4 linked regions of the Caenorhabditis elegans genome follow. The protein of the gene in region 1 interacts with the protein of each later gene in a pairwise test. Each region holds a gene or a part of one and is shown on either strand. Other genes may lie near its edges. The genes, in order: Y52E8A.2, cids-1, klf-1 and ceh-36.

What was found.
Region 2: the proteins of Y52E8A.2 (region 1) and cids-1 interact in a two-hybrid assay, tested with the Caenorhabditis elegans proteins (one large-scale study listed by BioGRID).
Region 3: the proteins of Y52E8A.2 (region 1) and klf-1 interact in a two-hybrid assay, tested with the Caenorhabditis elegans proteins (one large-scale study listed by BioGRID).
Region 4: the proteins of Y52E8A.2 (region 1) and ceh-36 interact in a two-hybrid assay, tested with the Caenorhabditis elegans proteins (one large-scale study listed by BioGRID).

What each region holds. Positions count from the first base shown.
Region 1 is NC_003280.10:4,318,897-4,322,133, reverse strand, and holds Y52E8A.2 (RING-type domain-containing protein), read right to left. Parts: upstream 1,299-3,237; 5' UTR 1,280-1,298; coding exon 1,191-1,279; intron 1,142-1,190; coding exon 739-1,141; intron 686-738; coding exon 599-685; 3' UTR 517-598; downstream 1-516. Other genes in the region: Y52E8A.1 (RNA helicase), read right to left, coding at 1-68; Y52E8A.6 (UNC93-like protein MFSD11), read left to right, coding at 2,165-2,322, 2,372-2,559, 2,606-2,702, 2,747-2,822, 2,871-2,994.
Region 2 is NC_003281.10:8,242,611-8,246,301, forward strand, and holds cids-1 (CID domain-containing protein 1), read left to right. Parts: upstream 1-1,834; coding exon 1,835-1,972; intron 1,973-2,015; coding exon 2,016-2,149; intron 2,150-2,191; coding exon 2,192-2,375; intron 2,376-2,422; coding exon 2,423-2,667; intron 2,668-2,719; coding exon 2,720-2,867; intron 2,868-2,915; coding exon 2,916-3,014; 3' UTR 3,015-3,184; downstream 3,185-3,691. Other genes in the region: Putative zinc finger protein C02F5.12, read right to left, coding at 176-259; pbs-6 (Proteasome subunit beta type-1), read right to left, coding at 613-729, 778-1,171, 1,217-1,482; putative GTP-binding protein C02F5.3, read left to right, coding at 3,281-3,691.
Region 3 is NC_003281.10:2,873,166-2,880,838, forward strand, and holds klf-1 (Kruppel-like factor 1), read left to right. Parts: upstream 1-1,652; 5' UTR 1,653-1,727; coding exon 1,728-1,863; intron 1,864-2,424; coding exon 2,425-2,597; intron 2,598-3,510; coding exon 3,511-3,703; intron 3,704-4,496; coding exon 4,497-4,577; intron 4,578-5,162; coding exon 5,163-5,459; intron 5,460-6,129; coding exon 6,130-6,567; intron 6,568-6,749; exon of another isoform or gene 6,750-6,823; intron 6,824-6,929; coding exon 6,930-7,019; intron 7,020-7,166; exon of another isoform or gene 7,167-7,173; coding exon 7,174-7,259; 3' UTR 7,260-7,511; downstream 7,512-7,673. UniProt on the Caenorhabditis elegans protein: Transcription factor which modulates genes involved in lipid metabolism and the phase I detoxification pathway, including cytochrome P450 oxidases.
Region 4 is NC_003284.9:14,182,714-14,188,469, reverse strand, and holds ceh-36 (Homeobox protein ceh-36), read left to right. Parts: upstream 1-1,903; 5' UTR 1,904-2,004; intron 2,005-2,870; 5' UTR 2,871-2,934; coding exon 2,935-3,077; intron 3,078-3,489; coding exon 3,490-3,655; intron 3,656-3,809; coding exon 3,810-3,889; intron 3,890-3,941; coding exon 3,942-4,050; intron 4,051-4,133; coding exon 4,134-4,278; intron 4,279-4,890; coding exon 4,891-5,021; 3' UTR 5,022-5,249; downstream 5,250-5,756. UniProt on the Caenorhabditis elegans protein: Probable transcription factor, acting as a progenitor identity factor regulating the development of lineally-related embryonic cells including glial, excretory and neuronal cells. Mediates chemosensory function of ASE and AWC neurons.

The sequences.
Region 1 (3,237 bases):
TGCATAGTTTCGAGCTGTTGGTTGATCCAGGAGCACACGCCGAGCTGGGAGAATTTCTTAGTTGTCATGTTGTCTTCGGAGATTTGAATGGGCTTTGGGGTGTCATCTGATGACTTGAATTCATCGCCTTCTTCTCCATCGGATTTTTCTTTATCTGAAACTTAGTTTTTCCTCGCCCTTGACAGCTTCTTCAATTTCCTCAAAATCTTCATTTTTCACGTTTCCTGAGCTAGGAGGCTCTTCCTGTTCTTCATTCATCTCCAAATCATCATCATTGTCCGGTAGAATTGCGTCTGGCATGATTTTGGCTGTAAATTCATAGAATGTTCGAGTTTTTTTTATTTTTAATTTTTTTGTAAAAATTAATTTTTCGTTTTTTCTCAATTTTTTGTCCGAAAAAAAATAAGAAAAGTTCGAATTTCTGTGTTTTTTAAGGCGATTGAATTTATGCAAGTCAAGTTCAGTCGACATCCCGAAAAATTCTGATCGACGTCGAAACCACTCCAAAAGCTATGTTATAGTTTTATTACAACTGTAATTATTAAAAAGCAAAACGAATTACACATGAAATTATTGAAAAATTAATTAAAACGAGGTATTAAAGAGATGGAAATTCCGTTGGATCCAGCATCCCTCGATTACAAGCTGGACAAACGCTCTTTTCCTTGAACCATTGGGAAGCGCACTGAAAATTTTGAAATTTATTTATGAAAAGGTTTTTGAAATGAATAATCTTACATCGAGATGAAACCGACGTCTACACGAATTGCATTTGATAGTTTTTTCAGTCGAAATAACGTCGTCCAGACAGATAAGGCATCGAGCATCTGATAGCTCGGCGCTAGAGCTTGAAATTGATGAAGAAAAGGAGACTGACGGGATGGATCCTTTTTCGCTGGAGGTTGAAGCTTTGAGCTTCTCTGCGCCATTCAGAAGAGCTTTTTCATATTCTTGCATAAACGAATCCGAGAAGGATGGAAATTCCGGAAGCTTCTTGAGCTGAATTCGAGTAGAATTGTCGTTTGACATCAGAATCTCTTCAATATTCTCATCCAACACTAGCATGAAATTCTGGAATGCTCGATTGAACTTGATCAGCTCGTATTTCGCGGCACGCATCGTAACTTCATCTGCCGATAGTCTGAAAAATACAAATTAAAATTTTAGTTGAATGCCGTAATTAAAAATACCTGGCGACAAGTTCCGCGGCTCGTCGCATTGGATTTTCCTTCAAAATCAAATTCCTCGTCGATTCTAGGCCTTCCAACGTGTTTACCATGATTTCCAATCGATAAACTCTAAAACTTAATATATTCTGGGAAAAATAATATTTTTAAAACCAGTTAACGACAAAATCACACAGAGAAAGCTGCACAATTCAGAAAAGATCCGAAAAATCGATAAATCCAGCGTGGCAAACAAAACGTGGGCCTACCGTACCGCTTCAAGGGACATGGTATAATTCTTGCACGGGTTTCGCAACGATTGAGTAGTTAATTAATTTAAATGGAGGTAAAATTAAGAATTTCGAATTTGTTGAATAATTTATATATTTTTCAATATTATTTCCAAAAAAAAAACAAATAAAATAAGGAAAATTTGAATTTAATTGACATCTTTCTGAACGAAAAAGCCAAAGCGGAAATTAAATCCTACCGTACCCATTTTTAAAGGCGCACAAAGTTTTATCGGGCCAAGATCCCGCCGCGTCTTTGAAATTTCCAGGCACAGAATTAAAAATAAAAGAGGTTTTAAGAGGAAACCACATGTTGAAAAAGGTTTATTTACAATTCCAAAAAAAACACTTTTATAGTAAAAATACAATTACTTGATGCTTGGCTGTGTTAGTTCCTCGTTTCGATACATATTGACGGTTTTTGAACAAGTTTCTCGAATTGAACGTTCCAAATTAAAGGGAATTATGCAAATTTCTGGATTATTCGGAAAAAAGTTTCACTGATGACTGAAAAAGGAGAAGAATAATATTGTTGGATAGTATAAAAAATGACAAAAAGTAGAGTGCCTAGTTTTTGTCTTTGTCATAAACCTTTGATATTTTTTCCAAGTCATAAATTATTTTTTTTCAAGTTTCTTTTTTTTGAAACTTTGTTTCAAATTTGTAGTTTTTACAGGAATAAAAATCTAGAGGCTTCCGATTTCGGATATGGCTATTGACCAAGGGACGAAAAATGTGCTCCGACTATCGATTTCATTTTTGCTCCTATTTTTTGCTTATATGAGTCAAGAATACATACAAGAACCACTTATCGAGGAAAAGCATAAAACCGGTGGGAATATTGATCCTCACGCCGGTTATCATAGGTTTGTCTCTTCTATATGGTCACTTTTTCAAAAGCAAAACTGATTTTAGTTTTGCTATAACTTACTTCTTTTTCACACTTTCTTGCCTATTTGTTGCTCCAATAATTGATAAGATTTCCGCGAAATGGGGAATGGTTCTGAGATTTTCGGCATATATTGCATTTCAATATGGATTTATACATATGAATACTTATTATGTGTACATTACTTCAGCGAGTTTGGGTGTCGGTGGTGCTTGTAAGTATGAATCAGGAGGGCTTCGCAAATGTTCTGAAACTTTCAGTCATATGGGTTGGCCAGGGAAAATATCTGACGGAAAACTGCACAAGTGAAACTATTGAACGAAATATTGCTCTGACTTGGTTCATTTTTAAGTTCTGGTGAGTACTTCCATCAATTCTCTGTACCATTTTGATTTTTCAAGCCTCCTCGGTGGTGGAATATTTCTCTACGTTCTGTTCTACAATCAAAAAATGAACGAATTTCTGGAATCTGGAGATGTATTGTATTTCCAACATCCATCTGTTTCTAATTCTGCCAATTTTCAGTACAAAACATTCGTCTATATCTGTTGTTCCATTTCTCTATTGGCGGCGATTAACACGGCATTTCTGCCACAATCAGTGTATGTTCCGGAGAGAAAGAAGCATGAGACGTTCGCGAAGACATTGAGTGAGTTTATGGTAGGTCGCCTTTATGCCTGCCTGCCTACCACCTAATCTAAATTGAGTGTGAGCACAATGTCACTGACTGAAGATTATTTCATTTTGACTGTTAATGAAAGTTCAGCTGCTCGGCAGTAGGCACATATACAGCCCATCATCGGGCAGGCGTAGGTTGTCAGGGAAGTAGGCAGATTTTTTTTGCTTTTTGCCTGCCTATCTATCTACCTAACAGTATGAGACCTAGTTTTGA
Region 2 (3,691 bases), on another chromosome or scaffold:
TCATTCCAAAATTACAATTTTATAAAATACAGTATTTATGATTTTTGATCGACCATTACATAAAGAATAACCTGTCATATTATTTTTATTGCCAAAATAATTATTACTCAAGTTTTTCTAATCTCGGGAATATTTATATAATTAGAAGCTAAATGTTGCCAAAAGCTTGACCTACCAAAATAGATTGCAAATCGAGTCCTCGCATTTTGAGAACTTCCAAAGTTTGATTGTAGATGTTAACTTGAATATAAGTTGACATTTTTCAGTAAATACCAACTTGTCGAGTTGCAAAGCAGGAATGAATCAATGACACAGCTGGGCAGACCACAAAGTAAGAGACTCGAAACGCAGACGGTTCTAAGCAGCGCCGACTCACTCCTTCTTTTGCATTATATCTTGTGTCTCACTCGTGCGTTCTTGCCCTGTGTGTTTTCGCTCTCTGCATTTTTCTCTCTATTTTGTAGTTTGCGTTGGACGCCGAAATGTAGTCATGTTGTAGACTACAACATATAAGTGGAGGAATATTTATCAGATTACCGGGATGGTAAAACAATTTCAGAGGGGAAGAGGATACGAATAAGTTAAAATAAAATGAGATAGATACTGCAATAATTAATCCTCACGAAGTGGCAGGAACTTTACGACGACTGGCTTTCCGGCTTCAGCGATGACCAAGTGAATTTTGTCTCCAGTAGAGATTTCACGCTCAGCAGCACCACGGAACGAATCCTAGAAAAAATAAATGAATTAGGTTAAAATTACGAAATTCAATTATACCTTCATCAATGAGATGGCTCTGTCCAATGTGAGTTCCGGACGCTCATATCCTTCAGAGAGCGTAACGTGCCCGATTTGACAATCCAAGAATGGAATGATCATTGGTTCAGCGGCTCCACTGGCTGAGTATCCAAGACGCTCGATACATCCGATTGGGTCGTAACTGAACACGGCCCCTTTTCCGTGCTCGTCAATTCCGGCAAGAATAGCTCCAGTGTAGTATGGGAAGAACCGACGGTAATAGAGGTTGCGGGAGAGAAGTTCTGCGCAAAGATCCACAGACATGTCAGAGCGATAATCGAAGCGGTACTTGTGGAGACGAGATTGGAGAACTTTCTTCAATTGGAGGACATCTCCATAGAATCCAGAGGTGGTGAGGATGATGTTATCATTCCTGAATTAAGAATTATTATTAAAACAAAGACAAATACTGGCTTACAAAATTTGAATCTTCTCTGCGTCACGTGTAAGAATGTTGATGTCGTTTTGGGTCATTCTAGTATCACTTGCCACGATGGCAAAGTTCTCCCCAGAAATGGCACAGGTTGATCCTCCCTCCATTGAATACGGGTTCCAGCGTTGACGCTCAATTTGTCTGGAACTCATCCACTCTGGATGAGCTGCAACTTCCTTCATTGCCTGCTTGAACATTGCCATTTCATTGGTGGCGTTGGCGACAGCCGTGATTCCAGTGAAGCTTGTCATCTGAAAAAGGCGTATACTTATTTAGTTGAAACAATATAAATATTCAATATGACAAAATTCAATTAATACAGAAAACAAATGCTCGAAATTTGAGAATTCAACATAACAGGAAATGCTGACAATGAGAGACATCGTCATTTACAATGTTTAGTCCGCAGTTTTCTGCGCGTTCAAATGCACATCGCACATCGAACTATACGACACTTTGCTGAAATTTATTGAAACGCGTTTTCCTCTCTTTTTTGAATGAAAATTCATTTTTCCAAGGTATTTTTGAGGACAATTCATCGCTTTATCTACATTTCTGATTAAAATTTTTGTGATTTCTTTTTTTCAATAATTGATATTTCAGATGGCAGATTTCACAGAGCAAACTTTGCGACAGAAGTTAACAAATTTATCAAACCACCCTTCCTCAATTCAGACGACTTCTGCCTGGCTTTTGCAAAATCATAGCAATCGGGAATTGATCATTCGAGTTTGGCTAAAGGTATTTTATTCATATTGTATCATTTTTTAGTGTTGTATTTCAGACAGTAAAGAAAGAAACACACGGCTCAAAAATTGTAAATCTTCTTTATGTGGCGAATGATGTAAGCCAAAATGCGAGAAAGACTTGCCCACAATTCAAGGACGAATTTTTTCCCGCAATAGAAAGTTCTTTCAGGTATTGGCATTTTCAAACGTCTAATCTCAAAATTAATTTCAGGCATGCAATCGAGTTGAAAAATGCAAAAGAAGTGGAACATGCAATTGGTAAACTGATCAATGTATGGAAAGATCGTCAGATATTCACTCCATCACAATGCAAACGGCTTCATGAAGTTCATCAACAAGTTAAGCTATCTGGAAGCTTCCCAACACCCGCAGTTGCGAACAAGGAACATGGAAAGGTGTGTGAATTTAATAAATTCCAAAAGAATGCCAAAATGAGCTTAAGGTCGCTCAACCTAGTCAGTTCGTCGTTGAAGAAGCGAAAAAGAATGCACAAGATGTTTTGCTCAGTTTGAAGCGCCTTCAAAACCCGCCGAGCACGGAAAGAGAAATTCGCACAGAACTTTCAAAATATCCGGATAATATTTCGTGCCCAGAAAAGTTGCAGTCAGTTCGAAGTTCGCAAGAAGCACAGTCTCTGTTGGTCCAAAATGAAGAAGCTCTTCCGATGCTGGAGGAATATGTTAAAAGGTTTGATTGAAACTTTTGTGAATTGATTTTGTACATTAACTTATGCTTTCAGGCTGAAAAACGAGACAAATGAACGCGAAACTCTCGAATCGAACTTGAATATGCTTATAGAAAATGTTAGAATGAGCATTGAACATCACGAGAAATTGTGCAGAGAAGTTAAGCGTAGAGAAGATCGAATCAAGGCAGATTTGTTAGAGGTTTGAAAACTAGAAAATCAGTTTTTGCAGACTTGAATTGAATTTCAGGTTGAAAAAACATTCGAATCGTTGCCAGATTTGGCTGCTGAGATGCCAAATGCACCATTGCCAACACTTGAAGCTTTGTTCGAGAAGAGGAAAAAATAAGTATCATACTACGTCATAATTATAACTTTACGATCTCAGTAGCTTTTACTGTACCCCCATTGTTGTATAATTTTTGTTCACTTTGATCTTTTACAATCGTGATCACCATTACCACATAAGTGCTTTATACGTTTTTCTTCTGAACCACCTTAAATGAATTTATTTTTTCTAAAATTCAAGTTAGTTCTATTATCTGAAAACGGTTCTTAACCAGTGTTTATCTCTGAAAGTTTGAAATTAATTGTTTAAAAGCTGATATTTTACAGATGGGTATTCTGGAGAAAATTGCAGAAATCGAACATGAAATTTCAAGAACCCAAAAGAATAAAGCCACTGAATACCATTTGGGTCTTCTAAAAGCAAAGTTGGCAAAATATCGTCAACAATTGTTAGAACCAACAGGCAAAGGAGGTGCCAAAGGAGAAGGATTCGATGTAATGAAAAGTGGAGATGCGAGAGTTGCAATGGTTGGATTTCCTTCCGTCGGAAAATCGACTCTATTGTCCTCAATGACTTCCACTCACTCAGAAGCTGCTGGATATGAATTCACAACTCTTACGTGCATTCCTGGTGTCATCTCTTACAACGGAGCCAATATTCAATTGCTCGATCTTCCTGGAATCATTGAAGGAGCTTCTCAGGGAAAAGGAAGAGGAAGACAGGTTATCTCAGTTGCA
Region 3 (7,673 bases), on another chromosome or scaffold:
TTATCCACCAGGCCAAAAGTTCAACTATTATTTTTTAAATTTTCAAGTTTCGACACATTTTTAGTCTGTAAACAATGTGTAAAAAACCGAAAAAAAAAACGTCGACCACAGTGGGGGTCGAACCCCGGTGTTGAGATTACCAATCACCAGTGTTATCCACTAAGCCAAAAATTCAATGTTTCAAATGTTTTTCAAAATGATTCAAAAATAGCTGATATGGTTGTCAAATTAACGGAAATTTTATTGGGAACTCGAATTTTTATATGAAAATTCCGGAAAATCACTAGTTTTTATTTTCACAAATTTTATTTTAACAAATCCCGCCGAAATTTAGTGTAACTATCGATTAATTTGGAAGATTGTTCTTATATAGTTCAGTTCCTTTTTCATTTCTCTCTCTTCTTTTTTCATCTTTTTCTTGTTTCTTCTGTGCGTCTCAAACTAACTGTCACATCACATTTACAATCGACGTGTAGTTAGTTCTGTCTCATTAATACTTCTAGTTTTTTCAACTATTTTCACTTTCTATTCTCACTCTGTAAAATCGATTCGTTTTTGCTGAAAATTGTTTTTTTTTAATTTTGAAAATTTCAAAGTAAAAAATTAAAAAAAAACCAAATTTCAGTCCGCTACGGTTTGAACTAAATGTTGTTAATAAAAATCTCTGACATACCAAAAAAAAATTGGAAAAAAGTTTTGACCCCAGCGGGGGTTCGAACCCCGGTGTTGTGAGTCCCACCCATCCGTGTTAACCACAAGGCCAAAAATTTAATTTTTTTGAAAAAATCGATATGGGTCTCAAATTGACGGAAATTTCGTGGAAAACCCGAATTTTTATGTAAATATTTCTGAAAATCGATATTTTTCGGGAAATGAACTAAAATCTCGATTTTTTTTTGTGAATTTTCATTTTCAAAGTCAAAGCGTCTACCATGTCAATTTTCAAAGCATAAACAATGCAAACAAAACTCGACAAAAATTTTGACCCCATCGGGGATTCGAGCCCCGGCCTTGTGAGTCCCAGCCAACTCTGTTAGCCACTAGGCCAAAAACTCGAAATTGTTTTTTTCCAATTTTGCAAAAACGAAAAATGATAGATTTTTATTGATTTTTAGAGATTTTTCAAGAAATTCCTCTGATTTTCTAATCAAAAATCATAAATGTCACATGACACGTTCTCCTGTTCCCGTTCTCAGCTGACAATTCATTTTCCCTACCATTTTTTTTTCGGCCGATTCTGTGTATCTCTGCGTTTCTGTCTATTTCTTCATTTTCTTATTCCTTTATCAAGTTTTTTGTTTCGGTTTTTATCTTTTTTTTTTGTTTCGGCTGTGTGTTGAGGAGGCGATGCATTACCCTCGAAAATGTAAAAGACTACGCCTTTTTTGGAAATTTTTGTTGGGGTTTTTAGGGAAAAATCACTTTAAAAAATTTTTTTCATAGATTGAAAACCAAACTTAAAATCGAAATCTTCAAAAATGAGCAAAAGATCGAAAAGCAAAAAATTGAAATTTTTTTCAAAATTTTTTTTTTCAAATTTTTTCAAAAAATAATTATTTCAAAATTTTCTCAAATTTAGATTTTCTTATGTACTTTTTCACAATTTACCCATTTCCCCTCTAAAAAATCTATAAAAATATCGATTTTTGCAGATGTTTGGGCCGGAAGGCTCCGGGTCACTCAGCTCCTCATCAAGTACACTACAATTCAATTCCACGTCATCCACGATGACGTCATCATCGATAAATGCCACGTCATCACGGGAACCATTAATACACATTCCTAATAAACCATCATTATCAATTGATCCATTGGCGCGGGCGGATAGATCAGTACATTTGTCACCGTCTTTTTTTCAACCAGGTGAGAGATGTTTTTTTATTTAATACCATCACTGAAAATATGTTTTCCTGATAGAATAAATTTTGTTGTGTTTGCCATAGAAAAAATTAAGTGAAAATCTTAATTTTTCGCTGAGTTATCGAATTTCGAAAAATTACAAAAAATTTTCAATAAAAATGTGTCCCACCACGAAAACTATGACTTTCTAGCCCGAAATTTAAAAATAATCAGATTTAAAATTTCACGAGCTTTCAGAAAAGTATAATCATGGCTATGTTTCGAAAATTTCGAAATTTCCCCGGGAGTACTGTAGTTTTCGTGGTGGGACCTAAAATTGACGGAGCCTAGGCATGATGGGTGTCATTTGAAAGTTCTCAGTGTGCTAAGTTCAAATTTAACAGTTTTGAAGTTTCAAGTTCAAGCTGTGCCTTAAAAGTTTTGATTTTTTGAAATTTTTCGAAATTTTTCGAAAATCGATAACTCTGCGAGTTTTTAAGATATTTGAACTATTCCAATTTCAAAATGTGCAGAAAACGTTGAATTTTTTTGCAAAAATATAACCAAAAATCTTCAAATTTTCAGGCCTCTCCTCAATTTCATCTGAAAACGACGATGCTGAACAGCGGATACATGAAGCAACAAGAAGCTTTAATCAATTCGGACATCAATTTTACGAATCAATTCGGGAACTTTCCGAGAGCACAAGTGCCTACGAAAGGCTGAAGGCCAACGCGTTGAGGAGGAAGCTAGAAAATGTTCGTTTTTTTTTGAGATACAGCTATCTTGGTTATATTATGTTAGGCCTATGCACCTTTAAACTTTGATTTTCGTGGCGGGACCCGGAAATTAAATTTTTTTAAGACTCCCTCTCAAAACCTAGTCATGATTATACTTAAATGAAAGCTCTCACCCAGCTGAATTTGATTTTCATATTTTCAAGGTCCCACAACGAAAAACCACCAAAATTTCAAAGCTACAGTAGTCACATGTCCTTTAACCCTCTTATCTCTCAGTCTCTTTGTCACTCTCAATTTTCCCGCCTTTTTGGGTGTGGTTACCGTCTTTTCTTGATGTCGGCGGCGGCGACCGTCTTGTTTCGCAAGAAAAAGAAAAATGAGAGTGAGAGAGTGAGAGAGTACGCAGAGAAAGAGAGTAGGGAGAACATTGGGCGTTGGCGCCTCTCTTTCTATCTACCGAAACACATACATAAAGTGAGAGAGAGAGAGAGAGTGATTGATAAGATTGAGAGAGCGCTGAGAAAATAGAGAAAATCTAGACCGGATTGTTCATCTTCCTACGAAAGACTAATTAATCGATATTAGAATGGAACAGATTTCACAAAAAAAACTTTTATTAACCGCAAAATTTCGAAAAAAGACCAAGAAATAGATAAACATAAGCCTAAGCCTAAGCCTAAGCCTAAGGCTGAGGTTAAGCCTAATCCTAGGCTAAAGCGTATGCATAAGCCAAAGCCTAAGTGTAAGCTTAAGCAGGAGCTTAAGTCTCAGCCTAAGTCTAAACCGAAGCCTAAGCCTAAGCCGAAGCCTAAGCCTAAGCCGAAGTTGACTCCAAAGCCTAAGCCTAAGCCTGAGCTCAAGCCTAAGCATAAAAATCAGATTTAAATATGGAAAAATTGAAAAATCCTTTAAAAATGTGTTTTTTTTGCAGACATTTGGAAATGATAGCGGAGCAGCAACAAGTTCAAGTTCTTCATCGGTTTTCGAAAGACAATCGGACTTTTCTGCATTTGCACCATATAAAAATTCACATTTTGACTCAACTCAGAGCCTTTTCCAACCGACAACTTCATTTAATGACCGTCTGGAACAGATCAAAAGTGATTTTATTGCAGAGCATCAGAGTGGGTTTTATTTTTGATTGAAAAATCTGAATTCAGCGTTTTGAGAGCTTTAATTTAAGTATAATCATGCCAAGGTTTGAAAATTTTGAAAATTTCTTGGGTCTTGCCACGAAAAAGATCTGGGGTACTGTAGGTACAGTTTCCAGGCTGCGAAAAGTATTTTTGTCTGAAAGAACAATTTCTGTTGTGTTTGTCAAACAAAAAATCTTATGTAAATCTCAATTTTTCGCTGAGTTATCGATTTTCGAAAATTGTCGAAAATTTGCCCACAATTTTGGGTGCCACCACGAAAACTATCAGTATTTCTCACAAGTTTTCAAACTATTCGAATTGTAAATTTTACGTGCTTTCAGAAAAATATATATAATCATGACTAGGTTTGGAAAATTTTGGGTCCCACCACGAAAATTCCCCGGGAGTACTGTAGTTTTCGTGGTTGGACCTAAAATTGACGCAGCCTAGGCATGATGGGTGTCATTTGAAAGCTCTCAACGTGCTGAGTTCGAATTTAATTGTTTTGAAGTTTTAAGTTCAATCTCTGCGTTAAAATTTAAAGGTTTTCGATTTTAAATTTTTCGAAATTTTTCGAAAATCGATAACTCTGCCAGTTTTCAAGATATCGGAACCATTCCCATTTCAAAATGTGCAGAAGAAATCATATTCTTCTGCAAAAATTAAAAACTCAACTAAATTTATCACCTAAAAAAAAGAAAACGCCTAAAGAAAATTTCTTATCAGGGACACCCCTGCAAAACACCCTCCGAATTTGTAAAAATTGTCATATATTTTTCAGAGTCAATGTCGTCATTTTCCGGATTCAACACACCGACGACAGCTCTCGGAGCAGCTTTTCAGGGCATGCAAGTCAAGAAAAGTTTGTGATTTTTTTTCAATTTTCAATTTTTTAAACTTTCTAACTAATTTTTTTTTGAAAATTATAGAAAAAATTGAATTTGTCGTGCAAAGAGCTTTTGAATAACACCCATCATGACTAGGTTCCAGTGAGTTTAAATTTTAAAGCACCTATGTGCCTTTAAATTTTGATTTTCGTGGCGGGACCCGGAAGTGCAGGCTTAGAGGTCACTGACAAATATTTCATCTGTTCATTTAAAATTTTATTAGCATTCACGATGCCTAAAACTTTATATTGATCTTCAATTTTCAACTTGTTGGGTCCCGGCACGAAAATCTAAATTTAAAGGCGCATAGGGTTTGAAAATTTCAAACTTAACCTAACCTAGCCAAGATGGGTGTTATTTTGAAGCTCTCAGTGTGCTGAATTCATATTTTTAGTTTAAAGTGTATTGTATGACAAGAAATGAGAGATACTGTAGTTTTTGTGGTGGGACCCGGAAATTTATTGAAAAGTTCAAAATCGTCAGAACCTAGTCATGATTATACTTAAATGAAAGCTCTTGGCTAGCTTGATTCAAATTTTCAAAGTAAAAATCATTTTCAGGTGCGTTCGCTCCAGTCCTGCTTCGAGAAAATCTGGATACCCGGCGCCCCGGGGGCCATTTGATTTCCGACATTCTGAATCGAGACCCGCTTCCACAATCTCGAAATCTTAACCTGAATATGGCTAGAAATGTCCCAATTCGGCTGATTCATTCGACTTCAAATTTCGATATCGCTTCCTCGAGCTCCGGAGATTCAGGCCATCAGGATCATGAGAGTATTGTTGTGGAGGATGCTGACATGGATAGTCCGACAAGTCCGTGTGTCAAAAGATCCGCAATGAATTTTGATTTAAGAGGTAAGGTTTTGAAATTGCGGAAAATTTTTTTTTTAATTCTGGAAAAAAAATTTTCCACAAAATTTTTTTTCAAAATTTTTTCTTCAAAATTAAAAAAAGTCGTCAAACTTCACAATTTAACTATTCTCGGCTCGTCAAGATCCTTCAAATGACACCGATCTTGCCTTGGCCCCGCCCACTTTGGGTCTCACCGCGAGAACCAGAATTTAAAGGCGCATAGGGTTAAAAATTTAAAAATATGCCGAACCTAGGCATGATGGGTGTTATTTTGAAGCTCTTGATGAGTTGAGAGCGATAAAAACAAAATTAAGGTAAAAAATATTTTTTTAGTTCAAAAATAATTTTTCGAAAAATAACCTTTTTTCGCGTTCATCACATCAAGAGCTTTCGAATGACCCCCATGATGTCTAGGCTCTGCCCATTTTGGGTCCCACCACGAAAACTACAGTACTCCTGGGGAATTTTCGTGGTGGGACCCAACATGGGGAGAACCTAGCATGATGGGGGTCACTTGAAAGGTCTTAACAAGCTGACTACAATAAAATATCCAAAACTTGAAAACAAGATAATTATAATACCAATTTTGTGCTGAAAAAAATTTTCTCCAAAATATTTTTTTTCAAAATATTTTTTTGAAAAATCAAAACTTCAAATGTTTTTTAATTTTTAGACGAACCTCTCACAGTGAACGTAGAAAGTGTGTCATCAACATCAGACCTTCCCAGCTCAGTATCCAGCTCTGTGAACTCCTTCGTCTACCAAAACTTTGACCCCTTGGAGTTTAAGCGAAAAATAGACGAACTGACGGCTTCAGCGTGTCTAGCTGTAATGCCAGACGCAAATGGTCAAGTCGATCCGATGGCCATCAAAACTCAGTTGGATGCTATCAAAAAACAAATGGAAGAGCATCAAACCCACATGGCAGAAGCCTCGCAAAGACTCCACGTGGACTCTTCCCTCGAGGATTCAAATTGCGAGCCGAGCCCGAGCTCATCATATGATGCTTCTGAACCATCTGTCAAGAGGCTTCACCATTGCACACATCCGAATTGCGGGAAAGTCTACACGAAAAGCTCACATTTGAAGGCTCATTTTAGAACTCATACAGGTAATACTTTGTTAATTGTACTGAACAAAATATTTTCTAGATTGAAAAAGCAATCATTACACCCAGAAAAAACCAAAAACATGCAGAAAGAATCGAACTTGGGACCTTCTGGGTCTCAGTCATCTCTCTTACCTATTGCGCCACCAGCGCCGTCGCGCCCAGCAACTGGCGCGGCACGCAGTGCGCGCGTGGCGCAGTCGGTAAGATGTCAGACTATGACCCAGAAGGTCACAGGTTCGATTCTTTGTCGAAGGATATAGGTTTTTCTGGATGAAAAGTTTGAAAATTTCAGTTTTAAATCTTGATAACTTCTCTTTAAAGTTGTTTTTAGAAATTTTTTGATGAAAAAAATCATTTTTCAGGTGAAAAACCATACGAATGCAGTTGGGACGGGTGTGATTGGCGATTTGCTAGATCTGACGAGCTAACAAGGCACTATAGGAAACATACAGGTAATTTTTGAGTGAATTAAAGGCGCATACACCTAAAAATTTTCAAATTTTCCCAAACCTAGTCATGATTATACTTAAATGAAAGCTCTCGTCGAGCTCTATTTAAATTATGCACTGCAATGCTAAGAAAAACAAAAATAATTGTTTTTTTCAGGAGACCGCCCATTCAAGTGCTCTCAATGTTCACGTGCCTTCTCCCGAAGTGATCATCTCTCACTCCATATGAAACGCCACTTCTAATCAAAAAAAACATGGTGCAACAGATTAACTAATTACGGGTTCCCAAAATGTATTTCTCAACTTTTTATCCGGTCATTACATTTTTTTTGGAAAATTTTTGAAAAAAGTTTTTTTTTTCAAAAATTTTCAAACTTCCCGCCAGTCACGTCTCAACATCGTGACGTCATTTTTACAGTTTTTTGAATGTTTTCTTGCTCAAAAAATGCTTGGTATCATCACTAAATACGGTCATATTAATTTTTGTCACATTTCACTTTCCCCCCCCCCCCCCACGTGGAAATCAATAAATACATATCGATTTTTTTTTCTGTGTTTTTTTTTTTGATTTTTCAGAGATTAGTAATTTGAAAAAAAACCAAATTGGAAAGGTTTTGAGCCTTTCAAAATTATTCAAAAATAATTTTTGGAAAAAAT
Region 4 (5,756 bases), on another chromosome or scaffold:
TCTTCACACGGGAAGCTATAGAGCCGCGAACGTGTTACCATACTTATGGCGCACCCTGTACAAAATAAATTAGTAGGTTTCCGATTTTACCCAAATTCGACCAAGATTGGCCGTACCTGACCAATTAACAAAAACGTCAGCAACACAATTTTTCGACTAAAATTAATTAGTTTTCTGTACCAATGAAATATTGAATTGTCTACAACTATTTATTAATCTATTTCATGAATTCATCAAAAACCTCATTTTCTAAGTACCTTTTTGGAATCACCGTAATGTGTTACACAATCCACTTCAGTTTCCTCCACCGCAAAGGGCATTCCTTTGCTCCACTTCGGAGAGCATCTTGTGCTCATCATTCACATAACAACTCAAAAAAAACCATCTGCTTCAAGACAAAGACCTAGGATTATGGTATTCGCAGACAGTTTACTAGCAACATGTCAGTTTTTATTGTTCAGCAGGACAAGTTATTTATAGTTATGCCGACATGGATATTCATGTGAGGGAAGTGAGATGAAACAATGGACTGTCGATCAATATTCTTGACACGAATATCCTAGGCAGGTTGGTGTTCTCACCTTTGGGGAATGTAAGGTGGGAAATGATATTTAGAATTTATGGATGTGATTGAGAACATCAACGGGCAAATTAATGAAATTCGGTAATAGCTGAAGTGTTGTATTTTAGAATAAGTTAATCTTCCGGTGAATTGACTTTTTAAAACTTTTTTGAACGTTTTTTTCCAAAATAAACTACTGACTTCCTAGAAAATTAATTTTTCCCCAACGTTTCTTTTCACCGTTTCTTTAAACCTATACTTAACTCGTAATTGTTTCTAATGTTACCTGATTATTTGCACTGTTTCCCATTCTCAAAAAATTGAGCTTTTTCTAACTATCACCAGTTAGCCATTAGTTTTTTTTGTTAATTAAAAAATTATATTTTATACAACATAAGTATGAGTGAGCAAAAATCAAACTAATTTTTGAACCCATATATTGGCGCCATTGTGATTAACATTGTCAGATTACACTTACGGATCAAGGATAAGCTTATCCGATAAGGCTGAGCCTGAGCTCCTTCAGATTATAGTATAATGCTAAGTTCTTGTTGCTATGTTTGCAAGCTGAGCAATATCCGTTTTATTCAAAGAATTGGATTCCTTTTTTTGTTACTTTGAAATTTTAAAATGTAAAAATAAACATACAAGTTTTTTACCGTAATTGAAAAATTGTAGCAGATACGTTAAATTACCTTATTTTTTCTATGTCATGAAATTTAATGATATCTTCTATTTGACTTGAAGGGATGCAAGTCTAATTATCTAGTGTGTTTTTTTGAAGTAACAATTTGATTTTTCACCATTATTTTATAAATATATTCTTCTTCTATTGGTGCTTAGGACGTTTTTAAACTTCACAAAATGAAGAATTTGCCTAAATTTCGAAAGTGAACTGGTCTAATAATAAATAGCTGCAGGTCAATTAAACTTATAAAACCTGCATGTATACTTTTTGATGGGCTTGTAGTGGTGCTATACTAATATAGTTAATACGGTAGCTTTAACGGTTATGTTAAATGCGGTTGGCAAATAATGATTATTAAGAACTTTGTTTCACATTTTTATCAAATTTGAGTAAAATGGGTAGCACGTTAAAAACAAAAGCGAGAACATTTCTTGAATGTTCTTTCAAATTCATTCTAACGTATCCGTGTCTTTAAAACAAACAGTCACCCACACTGTATTTGTCTTGAAACGTTCCCACAAACGCGGCCTCCTTTTTCTTGCTCATGTTCTAGTGCGTGTTCTCACTCACTTTCTCACTAGTGGGGTTCCTTTGGTGGAAGACTCCACCCACAGTAGGAGATGTGGACCACCAGATGGTTTGAGGAACTGTGCAACACGTTGTTGTTGTGTTCGTAGATAGGTTACAATTTGTATCGAGGTGTGTAATTTCAGGCATTATTTTGTTGTTATTAATTTTATAAACACGTTTCTGAGTGAGTTTTTTTCTTGAAACCGTATTTGTATACTCGTATTATTAAATTCAAAAAATTTTACCATGCATTTGGAAAAACGTTTCTCATTGTTGCTTATTGATAGTAATTTATAAATTCTGGTTATTGAAAAATTCTCCGTCGACACTATGTATTTTTAAAAGAGCATAACATGAGTCATACGTGGTTTTCACATTTGTGCAATTTTTACAATCTCCAATTTAACCTTAAAAGAACAAACACTTAAAAATTGAAAGCATTTAATACCATTTAATAGAAGCTCACCTTCTAGAGAAGTGACTATACACATTCCCTTCTGTATGTTCCAAACAATTATTTTTCAAACTTGTACTCATTGTTCTTTCAACCACAATCCCTTCATCCACTTTCTAATAATCTTCTCCTGTGCATTGGCTATACGTGTCCCCTGGAAGAAGCCTTAGAACCACCCCACTTGCTAATTATCTCTCGAAATATATATATTTCTCTTCTACCGTAACCCTCTTTGCAAGGCTTCATTCACTTTTTCTGATTTTCATCAGCCTACACGTCATCAGAAAAAAGTTTAATAGGAAAGCACAACACTGAACCCAATGATAACTTAATGATAATGCTTGCCCTTTTCTAGGAACTCGTAACCGAGAAGAGGAATCAGTTGCTCAATTCTCGGTAGAAGAAAAAAGAGATTAATAAAATCTGTGGGATTACCTATAACTTTCTTTTGTCTCGGCTCACATGAGCTTTGAAGAATGAAAAGCTGACAAAATCCATTAGCATCTTCCCTTTCAATTCAATAGCTTTTCACTAGTTATTCAATCGTTACCCCCTGACAAGCAAGGCTTCTTCTCATCGGTGTCATCTTCTTCCAGACTCACCGCCACCCTCCGCCCATTTGCGGATCCGTCGAGCACTTCGCCTGCCCCCGCATGCACAATGACCACCAACTTCTACACCGCCTTTCCGACGCTCGGCTACACTGCTTATCCACAATTTGCATTTGCTGCCGCAACCACGGCACCCAGTCTTACATCGGCAACCACAAGCTCAACGACAATGGCGCCAATGGCTCCAAACAGGTAGTTAATCAGGGGGATCAAAAAATAAAATTGTAAACAACAAAATCGTGGCAGATCAAGATTAGGGTGGATTTTGAGATTACGCTAAGTCTTGGAAAGGTTATCAGAGACTAATACATGCCTAAATACCGACTGGCATTCCAAATCAGTCGACATTGCTAAAAGCTGGCTCCTCTGCCAGCTTCTTACTCCAATTCTGGTCATTTTTTAAACGATTTCTCCCAATATCGATACAACATGATATTTTAGTTAACTATTGATTTGAATTTGTGCTCCCTTTTTTAAATGCAACTAATTTTCAAGAGTTTTATTTCTGATTTGAACAGTTCACAGAATTTTAAGACACATTTCAAATTAAAAATAGAATTAGAATAAGAATTGTGAAATTAAAATCTTTAACGATTTTTTTAAGTGAAAGCGGTCGTCGAGCAGGTCGGCGTGAACGTACCTCGTTCAACAGAGGACAACTCGATCAGCTGGAAAAAGTTTTCCGCGAAACACAGTATCCGGATGTGCACAGAAGAGAAGCATTGGCGAAGGCAATCAATTTGCCTGATGGAAGGGTACAAGTAATTACGGTAAGTTGGATATAGACGCTGAAAACGTAAAATGTGTTCTATAACTATTTGGAAACATAATTGTTATACATAAATGACAACAGATTTCAAATTTTGTATAATGATACGTGCTACCAACCCAATATTTTTCTACTAGATTCCCATTCAATTTCAGGTTTGGTTCAAAAATCGACGAGCCAAGGATAGAAACAACAAAAAAATGGATGGAGTCCATCCGGGAAGCACTTCATCAAGGTAAGACACACATCAACCTTTCCGATTTCTCCAATTATTCGATAATGTTCAGATCATCCAATGGTTCTCCACACAACGAATCAAAGCCTGATACTAAATCACTAGGAATTCACATACCAGGCACACCGGAATTCAATGCACACAGTGCTGCCAAATATGAGGTGAGAATTTCCAAATAATGTATGCTGTGTTGGGGGTTACGGGATGTTATGGGAGGAAGTTGCATGATTTCACACTTTTACAGGCAAACTCAGCAGTCTTGAGTCAACTGCAACAGCAGCAACAGCAGCAATTGCAACAGCCAAAAAGTGAACTGGAGGACTCGAAACCACTTGCAGATACCAAATACGATTCCACTCAATCACTTCTTCCTCAGGCTCAAGCTGCAGGTTAGTAGGGTTCAGTCTATTGTGAGACAAATGTCTGGAAATAAGACGCTACATTTAATAGTAGAAACTAACAGTAAGAGAAATAGAAAATGTGCTTACATTTGTTATTAGGAGAAAGTCATTTTTATCAACAATCAATACTATTTTAATTTTTGTATCCATGAGGCATTATTTAAATTTGCTTTAACTAAAAAAAATTTTAAAGCTGAACATATATTCTGTTCCGTAGTTTCAACTAATCCAACTCAGTTCCAAGTCAACATGACTGCTCTCTAAAAAAATTTTCTAGCACTGTAGTTTATTCCTAAAACTCCAGATGCCATCAATTTCAGCAAAATATGTTCTGTTTTAACAACGATTTCTTAGTTTTATTAGTCTATCAATGTTTTTATTACTGTGGAAATTGGCTCATAGTATTGGCTCAATTGTAGGTGAGAAAAATGTTTTCACTGGAAAAGGTCAATTGACATATAAATGAGATGGAAGTTAATGTAGGAGAATATTAGTTCGAATTACAGACAATAAATACACAACTTCTTAAATGTCACTTTCCAAAAAACCATTTTATTTCAAAAAAAAAACATTTAACTAGACTTCACAAATAATTTTCAGCATATGCATCCTACGCAACTACTGCTCCTTACCCGTACAACTACAACAGCTACTTCCCATCAAACTTTTACTACCAACAATATGGAAGCAACGATTACACCCCAAATATTACTGCCTACTCTCCACTTTAAGTTTTGAATATTCCCTTTTGATTTTTAATTCAAATTCCTATCAACTTGGGTACCACACTATAACTTCTCTCATCTTCTTGTCATAATTTTCTTGAATTTCTCCAAGTATCACTTGATCTCAGAAAAATCTTACAATGCATATGATATTTTGTTTTTTTTTCTGTTGTACCACTGAAATACTTTGTCAGTTTAAAGTTTTGTATGAGTAATGAATTTTGGATAGAATTGTTTCAAATTTTACAATATTTTACAAGTAAACTCCCAACACAGCATCTAAAGTGCCCTCAGGAAACGATATTTGCTCATTTTGGTAGTCGGCAAGCGGAAAGGATTTTAGGGCAAAAGGTGGCGTAATCCCCTTGAGAGACACCCACTTCATTACGTGGAACACCTTTCTCTAACACCTTCCGCCCGTATTGTGTGCTTGAAGTGACTCCTCAGCGAATGCCACGTCATCTCACTTGTCGGAAAGTGCGTTTCAGAACTAATGGTTACATACGCCTAAATTCCTTGCAAATAGTAGACTTTAAAATTTTTAGTTTCTGGTAAAAACTTATTCCATTAGCAATATAATAGTGTCAAAAGATATTGAAAACTTTCAAATTTTCCGAATTTTTTTTTCGTGAAAAATAAAAGCAATTTCAATTAATGCGCTCACTAATCCAATTGAAAATATAAAGGATGCTTTCATTATCAGTCATACGACCGGATTACTGTAACCTTTTATTATTGATA